Styela clava: one gene and its partner. The protein of the gene in region 1 purifies or fractionates together with the protein of each later gene. This does not show direct contact. Links are inferred from orthologs where the notes say so. Each region holds a gene or a part of one and is shown in the gene's direction. Other genes may lie near its edges.

Region 1 (7,595 bases):
GCAAAATTATCATTGTTAGCGCTGTTAGGTCGGGTGAAATTTTTTGAACATCCTGTATTTCCGTATATAACTGTTTTGAGTGATTCAAGGACCTTGTTGCACATAAACACAGTTGTTTATTTGTAACGCTTTGTTTGTCGTAGGCCACTACTCGTTCATTACTGACATCTGCACTGTTAAAAAACACGTGAAATTTACTTGGATTCGCTTTATATAATAAATCAAGAATATTCGATTCAAAATGACCAGCCCTGGTAGTGGGCATGGAATTGTCACTGAAGTCATCAAAAGGACACCGGTCACGGTCTGATGAAAGTATTTACGACATTTTTAAAGTCTGCGTATTTTTCTCAGGCGCTTGTAATCACACGTGGGCCGGTTTTTAAAAGTATTAATATCCCTGTACCATACTTGTGCGGTATCCATGATAATTAGGTTTATTTTTGGAACAGGCGTTCTGATACCACACACTTGCACGATAGTGTTTCGTTTAGAGCAGACATGAGCAAACTACAGCATGCGGGCCAAATCCGGCCCATTGGGTAGTTCAATCTCGCACGCCTGATGCTGCCACAACCAAATTAAAACCAAATTTAGATGCTTAGCTAGAAAAATCTCAAAAAATTTGTTGAAATTGCGATTAAATTCAGTTTTGCCACGAGGCTGATTGTTTTCCACTTTTGCAACAATAGAAATATTGTTCATAAAATGTATCTTTTTACGTCACACTTACATGGCCCGCCAGACAAGGTGGGCAAAATTTTCGGCCCCTGGTCTAAAAACCGTGCCCACCCCTGGTTTAGAGAGTAGTTCTCAAATTTGATTGACAGCGGGCCAAAATTAGAAGCTGAATGATATTCCCGGGCCAGGAAAGAGGTGCGCTTCAAAGGGGCCTATGTCGGTACCGGCACGGCACGTATAATAAGGATGACGAACAATTGTTACGAATATACAATTTCGCAGCACGATTTTGTAGTGGTAACAATCAAAATTTTCTTTGTCTCTGTTTAATAATATTGTGCTTGTCGTTCTCGTTTATCATATAGTAAAATTGATTCAAACTTACAATTGTTGTTACTATAAAATCGGGCGAAATTTTTAGTTGTTATTACTGTGGAATGGTGACCGTACATTTGAACCCATGTGTATATTCGCGGATTCAATCTATACGCGGGTGCTAAACCCATGGGTTATGGTTAGTATGGGTTCAACTATCCGTAAAACAAAAAAAATTTCCATAGGTGCAATAGTATGCAGGTGCAATCGTCGTGGGTTAAAATGTACGTGGGTTCAAATGTAATGGAACCTTGTGGGACACCCTGTATTATTTCCAAAGATAACTATTCTGAGTGATTCGAGGACATTGGCACATTCGTATATCGGTAACGCTTCGTCTGTCCGAGGCCAGTACTCATTCATTACTGGCGTTCATTTTTTAATGAGGATAACGAATAATTGAACTGTTACGAATATACACGTGCTTAAATGATAGCGATGATAACAATTCTCGGTAAACATAAAGTTTTAAACTATTTCACTCAAGTTAGGCGGGCCCTATTAAAACGTTACGGGGGCTGTAATTGGCCCGCGGGCCGCGGTTTTGGAACCACTGGTATAAGCTAATAAGTAGCTTGAGCGGGAATGAGATATACTTCAGCCTGTCTTATACCAGGGCTACTCAACTATTTTCACCAAAGTTCCGTTTACGAAACTTCAAAATTACTGGGGTCCGGACATTACAGAAAATTTATTTCATCAAATAAACGAAATTTCAAATGCAATATTAAATTAAATACAAGAGCAATGAATGGCTCGCAAATATGAACACAAATGTCGCACATCGGTACCAGTACGACAAACTGTGTAGCTGTGTATTTAAATTGTATCAAAATCCTCTAAAACTAAAACGATGCTTATGCTGCCAAAATAAACAAGCAGATGCGGTCCAAATGAAATGGTCGAAAGGTCCGGATTTGGACCGCGGTCCGCCAGTTGAGTAGCCCTGTCCTATACCATAAGTTATCAAAGTGCTGCGTACGGAGCCCCACGGATTCGTGAGAGAAATCCAGAGGCTCCGTGAGTTATTCATTTACTTAAATAAATCTTCAATGTTTTTAAGTACTAGTACTAGGCTAATACATCCGAGTCTTCAAACAAAGTAATTTTTTTCAATCAGGGAAATAAGTCGGTAATTAACAAAGTGTTTTTGTTTTTTAATTTTGTAAATTTATTTGTGGGGCTTAGCAAAAATAGTCAATCAATATTTGTCCGGACAGGATTTTACCAACTTCGCACTGCCTGTTTAGTGTATTAGATCCCGAGTTCAAGGGACTCCAGCGATACCAAGATTGTTAGACCGAACTTATAAGCACTATGCCATCGTTTTGTTGCAAATTTTAAGCATACTTCAGACTGCGTGCTTAGAAATCAAATTATCTGACTTCAGTTCTAGTAGATATTTAACAATAGCGAATTCGTACTTAGGAACTTAGGATATAAACTGATCCAAATACGCCGTAAGTCGATGCTCCACATTGTTTCTATATCCATGAAACTGTCCATCGCCGCTGTGATCATGACAATTCCACACGCCATCAAAGTCGGTGACCGATAAAAGGGGTGAATATGATCACGGCCAGGTGTGGAACTATACCGCCACCTAGCGAATATAAAATAAGTCTTAACTCGGCGGTAATCTTTTAACCCCGTTGGACTGGGTATTTACAAAATAAGTAAGATATTAATTAATAAATAAATTTTGACGAAATTTCATTTAATTTTTATGATTTTTATTGGTACTTGCAAGACCGTGCATATTTAAAAACATACTAATATATTTAACTGGTTACTTACGTGATTTCAGGTTTGCTCTATCTATCGCGTTTTGTATTTGTATATCTAAACATCTAAATAGACTACCGGTACCAGAAAAATGTTGAAAATATTAGGAGGGACCATGGCTCCTCAGGACTCCCTTTTTGGCTACCGTTGCAATGGCGGCGTGGCTCATCGTGCTAAGCGTTAAGAATACGCTCGCCATCGCACTTCTGATTACTCTGCGTGGGTTCGCATCCCATGAGTGATGGTTATGTGCGAGAGGATTGCTGGACTCCTCGCCGCCGTAGGGTGGTTCACGTAACCGCTGGTCGGTTAGGGCTTCCTCCACCATCAAGTCCATGCTTCTGAAAACAAATAACTAACTAATCTCATAATTGACATGGAATGGTAACCGGACGAGAGGCCGTTGTTCGCCATATGGTTAAGCCGTCTTATCGGCTTTCCTCTCCCCGGGATAAATATGTAAATCTTATCATTATTCTGCCTTGTTTCCGAGTCTCGTTATGGTATGCAATGATTGGAGCGCAGTCGAAATACGGTATACAAAACCCATCTTTAACAAACCGCTGCTCGACAATCTGTTGTTTAAAAGTACCGGTAAAGAATTTTAGCCTAGTCTATCACAGCTATTTCTACACTAATTTTTCATTACTGCAATTAAATTGAAACTCCTAGGAAGACAGAGGTATCATTGAATTATCTGATTTATATTTAAATTTCAGAAACACAACTGAAAACTAACGAATAGAGTTCAAAAACGCGAAAACGAGGTAATGTTTACGGCAACGCCTGAAAATTTGCCTGAGTGAAAAAAGTGTCCCAGTGGAAAAGGGGGCATTGTTACGTCACTTTTCGCATCTTGCGATTAGCCAAAGTCATGAAGTAAACAAGGAAGTTGATGCTCGAGGAAGTCCATACCGTATGGGGAACTACGGCCTTTCGTCCGTTGCCAGATCATTTCGGGCATGGAAACCGGGTATTATGATGTTTCTCTAACCGCTGACTGGTTACGGTTACATTACGAACCATTTGAGTGCGTGCATAGAAAGTGTTGAGTTTTTTGTAGCAGACCTTCGGACAGATAGCGATGAGGACCAACTGTGACTTTTATCGGAACCAAACTTATATCGTGACCAAATGTTCGATGGTGTGGCTCAACGGACTAAGCGTTAGGATCCTATACGCTCGCCACCGCACCCCTAATTACTCTGCGTGGGTTCGCAGGTTCGAATCCCATGCAGGGATGGTTATGTGCGAGAGGATTGCTGGACTCCTCGCCGTCGTTGGTTGATTCACGTAACCGCTGGTCGGTTACGGCTTCCTCCACCACCAAGTCCATGCTTCCAAAAACGAACAATATAACTAATCACATACCCGACTTGGAATGGTAACCGGACGAGAGGCTGTGGTTTGCCATATGGATAAACATTCTTATCGGCTTTCCTCCCCCCGGGATAAATACTGTTTCAGAATCCTATCTTATTCCATATGGTGGTTTGTGCAAATCATTGACGCATTTTAGTAAAATATTGACTCAGTCCACCACATCCTCTAAGTTCCTATTATCGGTCTCCGCCTTATGTTGTTGCCGTTTCTCTGATTTCTGCGTTTTTAATTTCAGACCTTTCTACGTTTTTTTCTGCATAATTTGCTACGTAATAGGCGAGAAGACTAAGAAATAATAAGTGTTAGATTATTATAGCCTAATAGATTGGAATTCAAGAAGGAACATTTTGAAACTGCGTCAATAAGGTTTTTGATACTTGTCACTGACTGCCGTACAAATACTCAAAAATCGTTTAAAATTGGAGAAATTTATTTTGCCGTTTTGACAACATAACTGTACTGAAATAATGCGGCGTGCTGGGACCGGGTATTCCCCTATGGGGGGACAACAACGGTCGGTTTATGGAGAGGAGAATGACCGTATGGAAGAGGAATTAAAACATAAAGTTTCCGCTCTTAAAACTTTGACAATTGATATAGGAGAAGAAGTCAGACTACAGAATCGGGAATTAGCGGGTTGGTAAAAAATTTATTACAATGTGCTGTTAACTGTATCTGTAATAATATTCCTATGTTGCTTGAAACGCAAATAAGTTTTTAACCAATGTGATATTGGGTCTCGTGTACTTTCGCACCTCAATACTGTAACTTCTAGTGGAGTTGTCGTAACAATTTTGCATATTTGATTCCTAACCCCCACCTGACTACGCCGTCCATAAATTATGTCACTGCGACATCAAAATCATGTCATATAGCTTTCTAAAGCATAGCCATGATCGTCCGAAATGACAACTGCGCCGACAATAATGAACTTACTAACACCAGCGATCTCTCTCTTATCGAGGTTGTTACGGGGAGAAAACAAGAGAAATTGGTTGCTCGTCTCGAGGTAATCGTTGCGTGTTTTAGTCTTTTGGACGATCATCCGAATATTTTGGCGTGCTTTGTTTCGTCACTCTGTCGTAAATTTTGGATGCTGTAGTTAGGTGGAGATTAGGAATGACATGACTTGGCACGCGCTTTTAGTTTAATCAAGTCCTCAATTTTCAACAGCTCATGCCAAATATGGTACCAATAGAGTTCCGCCCGAGACAGACTCTTACTGGTAACTGAACGAGAGGCCGTGGTTCGCCATTTGTAATTTTCAAGTCCAACAACAACTTATTTATTTTCCTTTCCAGGTATGGACGATGACATGGACAAGGTTGGGGGTTTTCTCGGATCAACGATGGGTCGACTGAAGGGAATAGCGAGGCACGGATACGGAAAAATGTACTGTTACTTATTCCTCTTTGCTATGGCGGTGTTTTTCGTCATGTATTGGATGATAAGACTGAAATAAGAGGAAATTTTCAAAGTTATACAGATTTTAGATGAATTTAGATACGGATTAATGGCTTGGATAGTTCGAATACTACTAGAAATTTAGAGAGTTGTTCTCGGAAAATAAAGTCCATGGACTTTGAAGTGGAGGGGTAGATTTTTAAACGCTAAACTCACTCAAATAATGGCTCGATATATTCTGAAAAATTCTTCTTGGGTCATCCTTGAAATTTTAACGCACAGTGCAATTTGGAAGAAAATATCTTGAGTCTAGTTTAGTAACACATGTACTCCTAAGTTTGGGTTAGGAATGACATATGCGAAAAATTTATGCCATGTCTACTAGAAGTTATTTTGGCAAGAAACTGCACAAGACCCGGTATCTCTCTTGAGAGAATTTTTTTTATAAATTTGTGGACATTGTGGTAACATTAGTTTGAAGATTAGAATTTGAATTTTTCTTAAAATTTTAGCTTTAAATATCTTGTATATTTTTTCTGCTCTTTGGAAAAGAAACTTTACAATATCATTGGACTTTGTGCTGGTTGCGAATGCTTTGAACTTGAATTTTCCAACTCTTTTTCATTTCAAATTATTCAGTCATTCAGCAATCCTGCATTCAGACTAATTTTCACAATAGTGTGATCAGTGTGATAAGCCTACCGTTTGTTTTTCTGATAAAGCAAATATCAAGTCACTGCTTAAAGTCGAATTTAACCGGGATATTTCTAATATCAAGTAGGTACAAACAGTGGGGTACAGCCAAGGGGTTTTCGGTCTTGTAACCTCTGTTTCAAAATTATTAAAAGACTGGAAAATTTGCCAATAATATGTGCGCTTGCATTTTGCTAAAAATCGTTGATTGTCTTAGACATTTTAGATTCTCGTTGTTGTCATGGAGTGAATATTTTACATGGCAGAAAAGTCATTTTACGCTGAAAAAGCTGGCTCCTTTACCGAACGCGCAATCACAGCAACTGTTTCATAAGGTTGAAAATCCTGGCTGTGCCCTGGGTACAAATATTCAGTAGGTATTTGTCATAGGTCAGTTCTTACGGTGAACCACCCTGCTATGGCGAGGAGATGTAAATTTTTGGCAAAAATGTTCAGGAGAGGCAATAAAATGGCGACCCTATGATAAGCTAACCTTTTTTTTTTCTTGTGTGACCAACGATCAATATATATTAACTTATAGCCACTGCCTTGGTCGGATATACTTTAAAATTTAACTGATTCATAACTGCATTTGACTTTATTCAAGTTTAAAATATACAACTAAAAATACTATAATGACTTCATCTGCAAAATAAGAAAAAGGTTAGAACCGCATATCTACACAAAATGTAATTTCATCAGTTTTTTTTTGATTGTTTGTACGGTTACATGCTAACAAGGTCATGTTCAATCAATCAGAGGAAAAGTTGTTTTAGGGAAAATTGCTTGTTAACCACTGACATAAAAAATTATACTTTGTCTTGTTGCCAAAATAGCGTCTCCTAACTTTTGTTTATTTATTTTTCAAAGATTTTATTTTGCTCTTTTGATTTTTTTTTGTCACGACTGGTGTTGTAATTGGTGCTGCCTATTATTAACTGCTTTGCCGTAACAGTTTAAGTAAGCTATTCGGTGTGTTTGTTGTTAGTTATTGTTATTTGTGAACATTATTGCTTATACCAGGGTATTTTCAAATGTATTTAAATGAAATATTTTTGACGTCAATCTCATGTTCTTGTACAATGTTTATCAGGGATGCCCAAAACCCAATCGACTCTTCGGAGAGGTTTAAAATTATTTACCGTAAATTTAATTTAAAAATCTTTGATTTCAGGAATGAATCAAAAAACTTTATGTATGATGAAAAAAATTTATTCAATTTCATAAAACTTAAAAAAATCCTTATTTTATATCTGAAAATGTTTTTTAAGATG
Region 2 (8,034 bases), on another chromosome or scaffold:
CAGAGCAGTCAATTCCGTCGATTGTAAAAAATTAAAGTTTAAGTAAAAGAAGTTAGAGTTCCGGTATTCGCAGCCGTTTTTTTCTCTCTTGTTAGGCAGATGGGGAAGGCATAACGCGTCATTTACTAACCTATTATCAACTTATCTAGGATGGCCAATGTACATATTAACCGTAGATAAAGAATAGAATTGTGTTGAGACCGATGGACGTCAACACACCTGGTTTCAACTTCTTCGGGTGAAATGACTAAAGAATGTAAGAGATCAACTTATAAAACATGGTCTTTTTGTAAATGCCGTGATAATTAATGTCGCGCTTATCAAACAGCAATATAAAGACGGAAGAGAAATTGCGTAATGAACCGACGCAACTTCGTCTTTTCGGCATCGGTAAAGCGATTGAGACGGCAGAGAAACAACAATACGACGGGATTCCCAGGGTTTTTTCTGCGCGAGATCCATTTTCTATTACAAAATCTTGATGTTCTGTTACCGATTTTATCGTTATATATCTGTCCGGACTTGGCATTTCTCAATATGTTTTTCACAATGCCTCGCAATATGTCGGCCAAATATGATTACCTGTCTTTACCAAATGCGGCAACTTATTTTGATTTATCGTCGACTCGAATACCACCGGCACTCGACCAAACTTGTGTCAATCTTGGCAAATAGGATTGTCGACTTGAGTTAGAAAAATAAATTAATATTTTCATGAGTGCAAAATAAATGTCACAAAATGCATTGTTTTGCGACATAACTTGGTATTTTCAGAGAAGGCATGTCATATAAGTACGGTATTTTAAATAATGCGCAAATAATTAATATTTGATCTAAATTTATCGCAAATAATGTTATAACTTTTAGGCCGCGAAATGATTTAATGTAGAATGAAGCATGGAATTCGAAATATCGTCAATAAGTCGGCATCAATAATTATCATAAAATGCTAACTAAGTAGTAAAGTCGGATATTGTAGAAAACGGTGAAATAACAAGTCTTCGTCGCGAGGCAAGCGAAAGTATAATCAAACGAGAGAATACGCTTGTAGTTGATTATTAAATTAGCAACCCGGAATTTTTATTAAGTCGTATTAATACGTTAATACGATTTTAAAAAAGTGAACTATCGTTTCCTAAATATATTACCAGTGTTGGTAATGATAAAATTGATCGCATAAAATTTGGTGATAAAGTGGATAAAAAAAATCAAAGCTAATACAAAAGATAAAAATCAGAATAAAATTATTTTGAATTCACTTATTGATATTTGTCTTTAACATCTGTAGCCGGCGTGTAGTACTGCCGGGAATATGAAAACCAAACTCCGATGTCCCATTCGGAATAGAAGTGGATTAAATTGGTTGTTATGATAGGTTTAAATGTGTGAAAAAAATATCGCAATTACGGGGTCATTACGTAATCGATTTGGCCGTAATTACGGAATTGATTTTTGTCAATTACGTGCAAGCCTAGTCCGTCAACATCGATAAACTAAATTCCGACACAATTATCAGTCTACGCAGGTATTAATTTTAATTTTGTTTAACTACACAATTTCTTTATAGATATTTTGACATGACCGCCTAGAGTTAGACTAGATTGTCTCAAAATATATGATAGCAATTGTAAAATAATATAAAATAGTAAAGTGAAAAAACCTCCTCGACGGTTATAGGTAGGCCTTCTTCTTGTCGGTGCTGATTGATATTCTTTCATGTTGGCTTTGTTTTATTGCGGCGACGATTACGATTAGCCACAAAATAAAATATTTGTAAAATGCTTTTAATTTGAACGTAGGACGGCGGCGCTAGAATGTGTGGGCGATATTCTTTTAAACATGAATAACGATATTCGAAGGTCGCGATATTAACAATAAATCTGAATTGGACATCCCGGATCAGGATTTTTCTAATTGAACACCGAGATTACTAGCCTGTATCTTAATCAGTTAAAGCATCTGGATGCCAAACATCAACTTCATATTATGTGATATATCTCTTTTTCGATCTGAAATAATGTGTGCTATGAACAACGCTCAAAGACCATTGTTTTAACCCGTCTGCCCTACACAGCACACCTAATTAAGTAATAATTACATAGTATCGGTATCGGAATATCGGTAGTATCGGCCTTTTTGTAGTATCGGCGTATCGGTATCGGTATCGGCGTTTTTAGTTGGTATCGGATCGGTATCGGTATCGGCGAAAAAAGTGGTATCGGTACATCTCTAGTGCTGCTTTTTGTAAGCTATTAAAAACAGAATTTTTCATGATTACATGTTTTGTATTCGTAAAATAGACTTTTTTTTAAATAAAATTTTTGTTAAAATTAAGCATTGCTATATATTAAATACTAGAGTGAGGGTTTGAACAATATCTTCTACAATGAGTTAGAATGAAAGAAAGGTTTCTTCAAGAGGAATAAAAGGTAGGAAAAGTTTGATTCATGGATTTGTCGAAGAGGCTTTATCTGTTCAACCATTGTGCTTGGTGGCAGAAAACCCGTCATCTTCATTTTTTATTCTGAAATATTCCAGGGAATAAATACAATTTCTTGCATAAGGTGCTGTGGAATATGGGCATTTCCTTGCAATTGTGAAGGTCCGATCCAGGCGAGTGACACTGCATTCCTTTGATGACGCTATTTACCGATGTCAGCATTTCTGCAAGATCGTGGTTCTTGGCGTTTTTCGCTAACACTTTTACAAGTGCTTCGATGTACCAACTTCCATGATGAGTGTTGCGCATTGCCGCTTGCCCTCGCTGAGTTGCATATCCAAATAGCATGTCCGATCGTGTAGGAAGACGAGGTTCGTCAAAGCTGTAATCAAACGTCGACGTTGTGCACCGAGATTTTCTGATCTTTGCGCCTCCGTCGATCTCATCGATTCCCCTGTCATAGAGATCCCCTCGACACGCTTGTACAAAGAATATTTTAGGTTTGTTCCGTAAATTCGGACAATTAGCATTGTCGAAAAGGGATATTATATCTTCAATCACTAGTGTTTTCCCATCGCGGCCATAGACAACTCCCTCTTGTCCGTGGGTAAGGAGGGCGACGACGCAAGCGTCGCGTGATTTATGATTTTCATTGCGCGCAAACGTCTCCAGAGAGCTGCTTATCTCTGAGGCAGTACGATTTTCCACAAGAAGTGTTTCGAATCCTAAATGATGTAAAACGGATCCAAGATTTTCTTTATCTAAATTTCCTCCTTGTCTTTGCGGGAGATCAACTCCGTTGTCGAATTCAGTCACATTTATGATAAGCGCATATCCTCTCGGTCGTGACGTCATCTTATATCCCCGGTTGTAGTTTCCCCGATAGAATTCTAGTGTGGACTTTTCGACCAACAAATTGCTAGGACCATCATGAGAGTCTATGGGATTTTCCATTGAGGTCAAAATATTTTCTTTTGCGTGGAATTTCGTATCTGTCCTGTCGCGTCCTTCGAGCAGGTTCGAGTTTTCATCTCGGGGACCTTCGTCAAACTGCAGAGCCTCCGCTAAATAGTCCTGTTGCGTCTCTTTTAAACCAGTTACTAATTTTTCAAATGCCAGGGGTCCTCTCGTGGGTAATATATTTAAAAAGGCGACATTTTTACCAAAAGTCGTGCATTTCGATTCGATTTTTTCAACCATTCTATCGCTTAAAATTCCTTCTTGAACCAGATATTGCAAGAGTTCGCTGATGTCCAATGATCGTGCCAATAAAAGCCTATTTTTCTGTAATATTTTTTTGCTCAATCGATCCATCTTTCATTAATTATAGACGAATACCTATCGTCTCACTGAACAGAGATACCGTTCACTAAAAGAAATCCACAAGAACATATTCCGAACGACCCCGCCGGTTCTTGAATTTCAACGAATGTTTACTTTCGTTAGCCCTTTAAAAAAATGGCGTTTCTCTCTTTAATCTTGTCTCTCTCGTCTTTGTTTCTCTTTATGTTTCTTTTATATTCTCACATGTGCTTTCCTATTTCAATACGCTCGAATAGTTTCTGAGTGCAGAGATAAAATGAGATTAAATTTATTAATATTGGACACGTCAAGCCTGGGGCTTCGCTTACGGCTAGCCTGTCTTTTACTGGTTAGCGTAGGGGGCAGTCACAGTTTGAAATTGCTATATTAGATGCTAAACTTACATTGTATATATATTTTTTCGTATATATAAATATATATATACAAATAGGCGTGATAATATTTTATCTTTATTACTAACCGTATTTTCCGAGCGCTCATTGTTTTATAACCTAAGTTCTGAAGTCATAACAAAAACATGTTGGGTTTAGTTTTCAATAAACTCATCTCTGCAAAGCTTGGGGACATAATTTTTTCTTTAACTTTATAAAGCCATTTAGAGAGTAGCTTGATATTTTTTCACTAATATTCTATGTCACGAGTTTAAATTAATGTGTAGCGAATTAATGGGGTCTAGCGAAGTACAGGCCGTAAGTAGTTAAATGACAGCAAACAAAAATGAATTGTGAAAATAAATTCTGTGACAGCGTAAATAACGCAAAACAAAAATGTAATGTAAAATATACAGCCCAAATTTTGAGTTTTTAAAGATAAGTTTGTCTTGTACGGAAGGCTATTGATATCCTATTTTGCACGACCTGCTTAGTTTAAAATTGGATGGGTATGATTTAATTTAACGCTGAATTTCATTCCGCCAGATCACCCTTTTTTTCAAAAACATGAAAATTTCATATCACATTTTTTTGCTTTACAATATAATACTGTAATAAGGAGTTGTTCTAGTTTTCACTAAGCTGAATCAACATGTTGAATCGCCGAATTATTTTTGTATCAGACCCAAAAGACATCACCACAATCAGTGAATTTAGAAATTTGAGAAATGGAAAAATGTTTATTTGCCTTATTGACTTGCCTATATACTGATATATGAAATCTTTTTCTGTTTCCAGTATTTTAGCTCCTATATTTATTTTATATTTGTTTAAGATGGAGAATCTATATCATCAAACCAATAAAATGGTTCATGAGATCCAACAAAATATGGGACGATTAGAAACGGCACGAGATGAAGACATCCACGTCATTGAAAATGAATTACAAGCTCGCATCGATCAAATTGTTGGTAATTGTGACAGGCTGGATATTTTGGTAAACAAAGAACATCCGACGAGGCGGCAAAATGCGAGGTTAAAGGTCGATCAAGTCAAATATGATTGTCAACATTTACAATCTGCTTTGCGTAATTTTCAACATAGAAGATATGTGAGAAATCAGCAGCAAAGAGAAAGAGAATTATTAATGGAAACTAAATTTACTACGAATGACGCCGATACTTCAATACAGATGGATGCCAGCTTAAATCACCATCATAAATTACAAGGTGCTCATAAGGGAATGGATGATCTCATAAGTCATGGCAGTAGCGTGATAGAAAATTTACGAAACCAGCGTGGATCTTTAAAAGGAATCAAAACCAAAATGCTAAATATTGCCAACACTCTCGGAATGTCGAACACTGTCATGCGTTTGATTGAAAAACGAACGACTCAGGATAAATTTGTTCTCTTCGGTGGAATGATACTTACAACAATTTTCATGTTTCTCATTTGGAAATATTTTGCTTAATTTTTTTATCTGTTGGTGGATAACGCTTATTCACAAGGAGAACGATTGATGCCATCCCACAAAGTCTGGGTCGTGCAATATTAATTACCATGAATGATATATATGTGTATATATAGGCTACTTAATTTTTGATAGCCAAACTTACTAAAAACTTGATACGCTTGTATCCCGGTGAAATTTTTGATATTTAATTCTTATATATATATATTATAGTGCATACTGAAATATTCATTTTTTGAGTTGATATGGTTTGTTTTACTTTTTCTCAATGCAAGGCAAGCTGAGCCCCATGCGCATGATTAGCACATTTATTTTATGTTGGGTTACATTTACTACGTTTGGAAGAACATAAATCTCATTTTTAGCATTGCTTACCAACTTTACACCTTGAGACATTGGATATCAATTTTTGAATGCATTTGTTGAAATTTATCTTTGGATGTCATTTGGTTTATAGTTATACTGGGCTTACTTTCTGAAAAAATTTAGCTGTTTTACAAGGAATACTACAATATACTTTATTATATCAACTTTGAAATCGAACAAATCTGAAAATTTCATCAGTTTGATCAATTTCCAAATTTTGTTAATGATTGAGTGAAACCTATTTTTTTTTATAAATATCGAACTACAAATCTGAAAAATTCATCAGTTTGTTCAATTTCCAAATTTTGTTAATGATTGAGTGAAACCTATTTTTTTAAGTTTGTTGCTGGAAATACTGAGTTTTGAAATGAAATCATTTTAAATAGTTATCTAATCACAGATTTGCTATATCCATAGGTATAGGTACTGTAAGGCTGAAAGAACTGAGTTCGCTGAAATAAATGGCAGACAAGCCTGATAGAGGCGGCCAAGCACGATTGAATGAAAAGTGTTAAAATAAAACAGCAATTTTTTTGAATAAATAGTGGCCCTTCCCATCTTCAAGAACTGAAAATTTGAAATCCATTAGCGAAAAGTCTTTTTTTCTCAACAACAAGATAGGTCCGCACCTTGCCCAGTAACTAATTTTAAATGTATTTGATTTGTTTTTCTCAACCCTGGTGTCGTGTTATTATAAATATTGTCAGTTGTCACTATTTATCAACTTACAATACATCAGGATAAAGATATGGACAGAAAACGGAATGAGATCACATTCTCCTTGTTTTTTCCAACATTATTTATTTTTCAACTTTAATGTTCTCTCTAACCAACTGTTAGTTGGGTGATTTTTTGTAGAATTATCAACTATAGGGAATTTTTGGTTGACCTTTTTTTTTAAACATCTTTATGTATTCTTTACAAGTGATACATTGTTACTTATCGATTTTAATCGGTAAGTATGTTGATAGGTATTTGTCTGTCTGTCTGTTAGATGCACGCGATATCTCACGAAAGCGAGATTGAATCTGCTCCAGGTTTTGCATGTGCATTCATCTTATTTCGGACCAGAAGTCTATTGATTTTGGGCGAATTATGTCGTATAATCAGCGAGTTATTAATTAGTGATGGGACACAAGGTGTCACTATGGAGTAAGAGTGCTGTTTTGGGGGATCCCCTAACTTTCGATCGATAAGTCTTCGGTCTAAGACCGAAATTCTCGTTTGTTTTTTCCTCTATTTCACATCGACTGCAAGAAAAAACTGTTTCACTTGTATAATCTTTGTGCAGCACATGGCACATGAAAAAATGCTCTTTTACTGAATCCATTGAACCCTTTGTTTGTTATGGGCTACCTAAAGTACTATTTGTTTCTTTTTTTGTTTAAGCTTTCTTGTGTAAATCAAAGTTGGAACCGGCTATATATGATATACAGATATAACAATTTAAGGTTTATTCTTTTCCTTCTTAACATGCGACTTCATCAGCAGCTTTAGAAAGCAGCAAAGATTGAGTGAAATGTAATAATTGGGCCATTTTTCTATTCAACAAATGGTTTTCTATGACAGGTTATATAATTTTAACAGGAGAACACAAAGCGAATTCACAACAGCTATTTCTAATTTTGACCAAAATCTGTATTTTTAATCAATATTTTCTCAAACGTAATTATGTTATGAATGTTAAACTTTCATCCAGTTACATGATAAAATATAACTCTATATCTTTATAATAGAATGGACCAAAAACATTTTTTCAGGTAAGGGTCATTTTTTTTATTCAATGCGTATCCACGACTCTCTTTCATTGAACAAGGTCCTGTACAAATATCGGAGCTCCCGAAGTATCCGTACCAAGATGGCGCACAACCTGAACATAGTATGTGTACCAGGTCAGGGTTCAGTTTGCGTCATCTTGGTACACATATTTCCGGAACGCCCAAATATCCACTGATATTTAACAATATATAGGGAGCTACTATGAATGACTTGATTTTTTTCAGTTCGGCCTTGCCTACTCAATAAATTACGCCCTGGGTTGGAGGGGTTCATATGGGATT

Evidence for each region.
Region 2: the proteins of BET1 homolog (region 1) and Golgi SNAP receptor complex member 2-like purify together in Homo sapiens (affinity purification with mass spectrometry; 3 studies listed by BioGRID and IntAct, with this or other methods). This does not show direct contact. The link is inferred for Styela clava from reciprocal best matches to the Homo sapiens genes BET1 and GOSR2.

Annotation. Positions count from the first base shown.
Region 1 is NC_135259.1:21,485,969-21,493,563, forward strand, and holds the start of BET1 homolog, read left to right. Parts: upstream 1-4,448; 5' UTR 4,449-4,691; coding exon 4,692-4,860; intron 4,861-5,525; coding exon 5,526-5,686; 3' UTR 5,687-7,595. UniProt on the Homo sapiens protein: Required for vesicular transport from the ER to the Golgi complex. Functions as a SNARE involved in the docking process of ER-derived vesicles with the cis-Golgi membrane.
Region 2 is NC_135263.1:5,712,174-5,720,207, reverse strand, and holds the start of Golgi SNAP receptor complex member 2-like, read left to right. Parts: upstream 1-4,929; 5' UTR 4,930-4,969; coding exon 4,970-5,608; 3' UTR 5,609-8,034. Other genes in the region: caspase-2-like, read right to left, coding at 2,513-3,754. UniProt on the Homo sapiens protein: Involved in transport of proteins from the cis/medial-Golgi to the trans-Golgi network.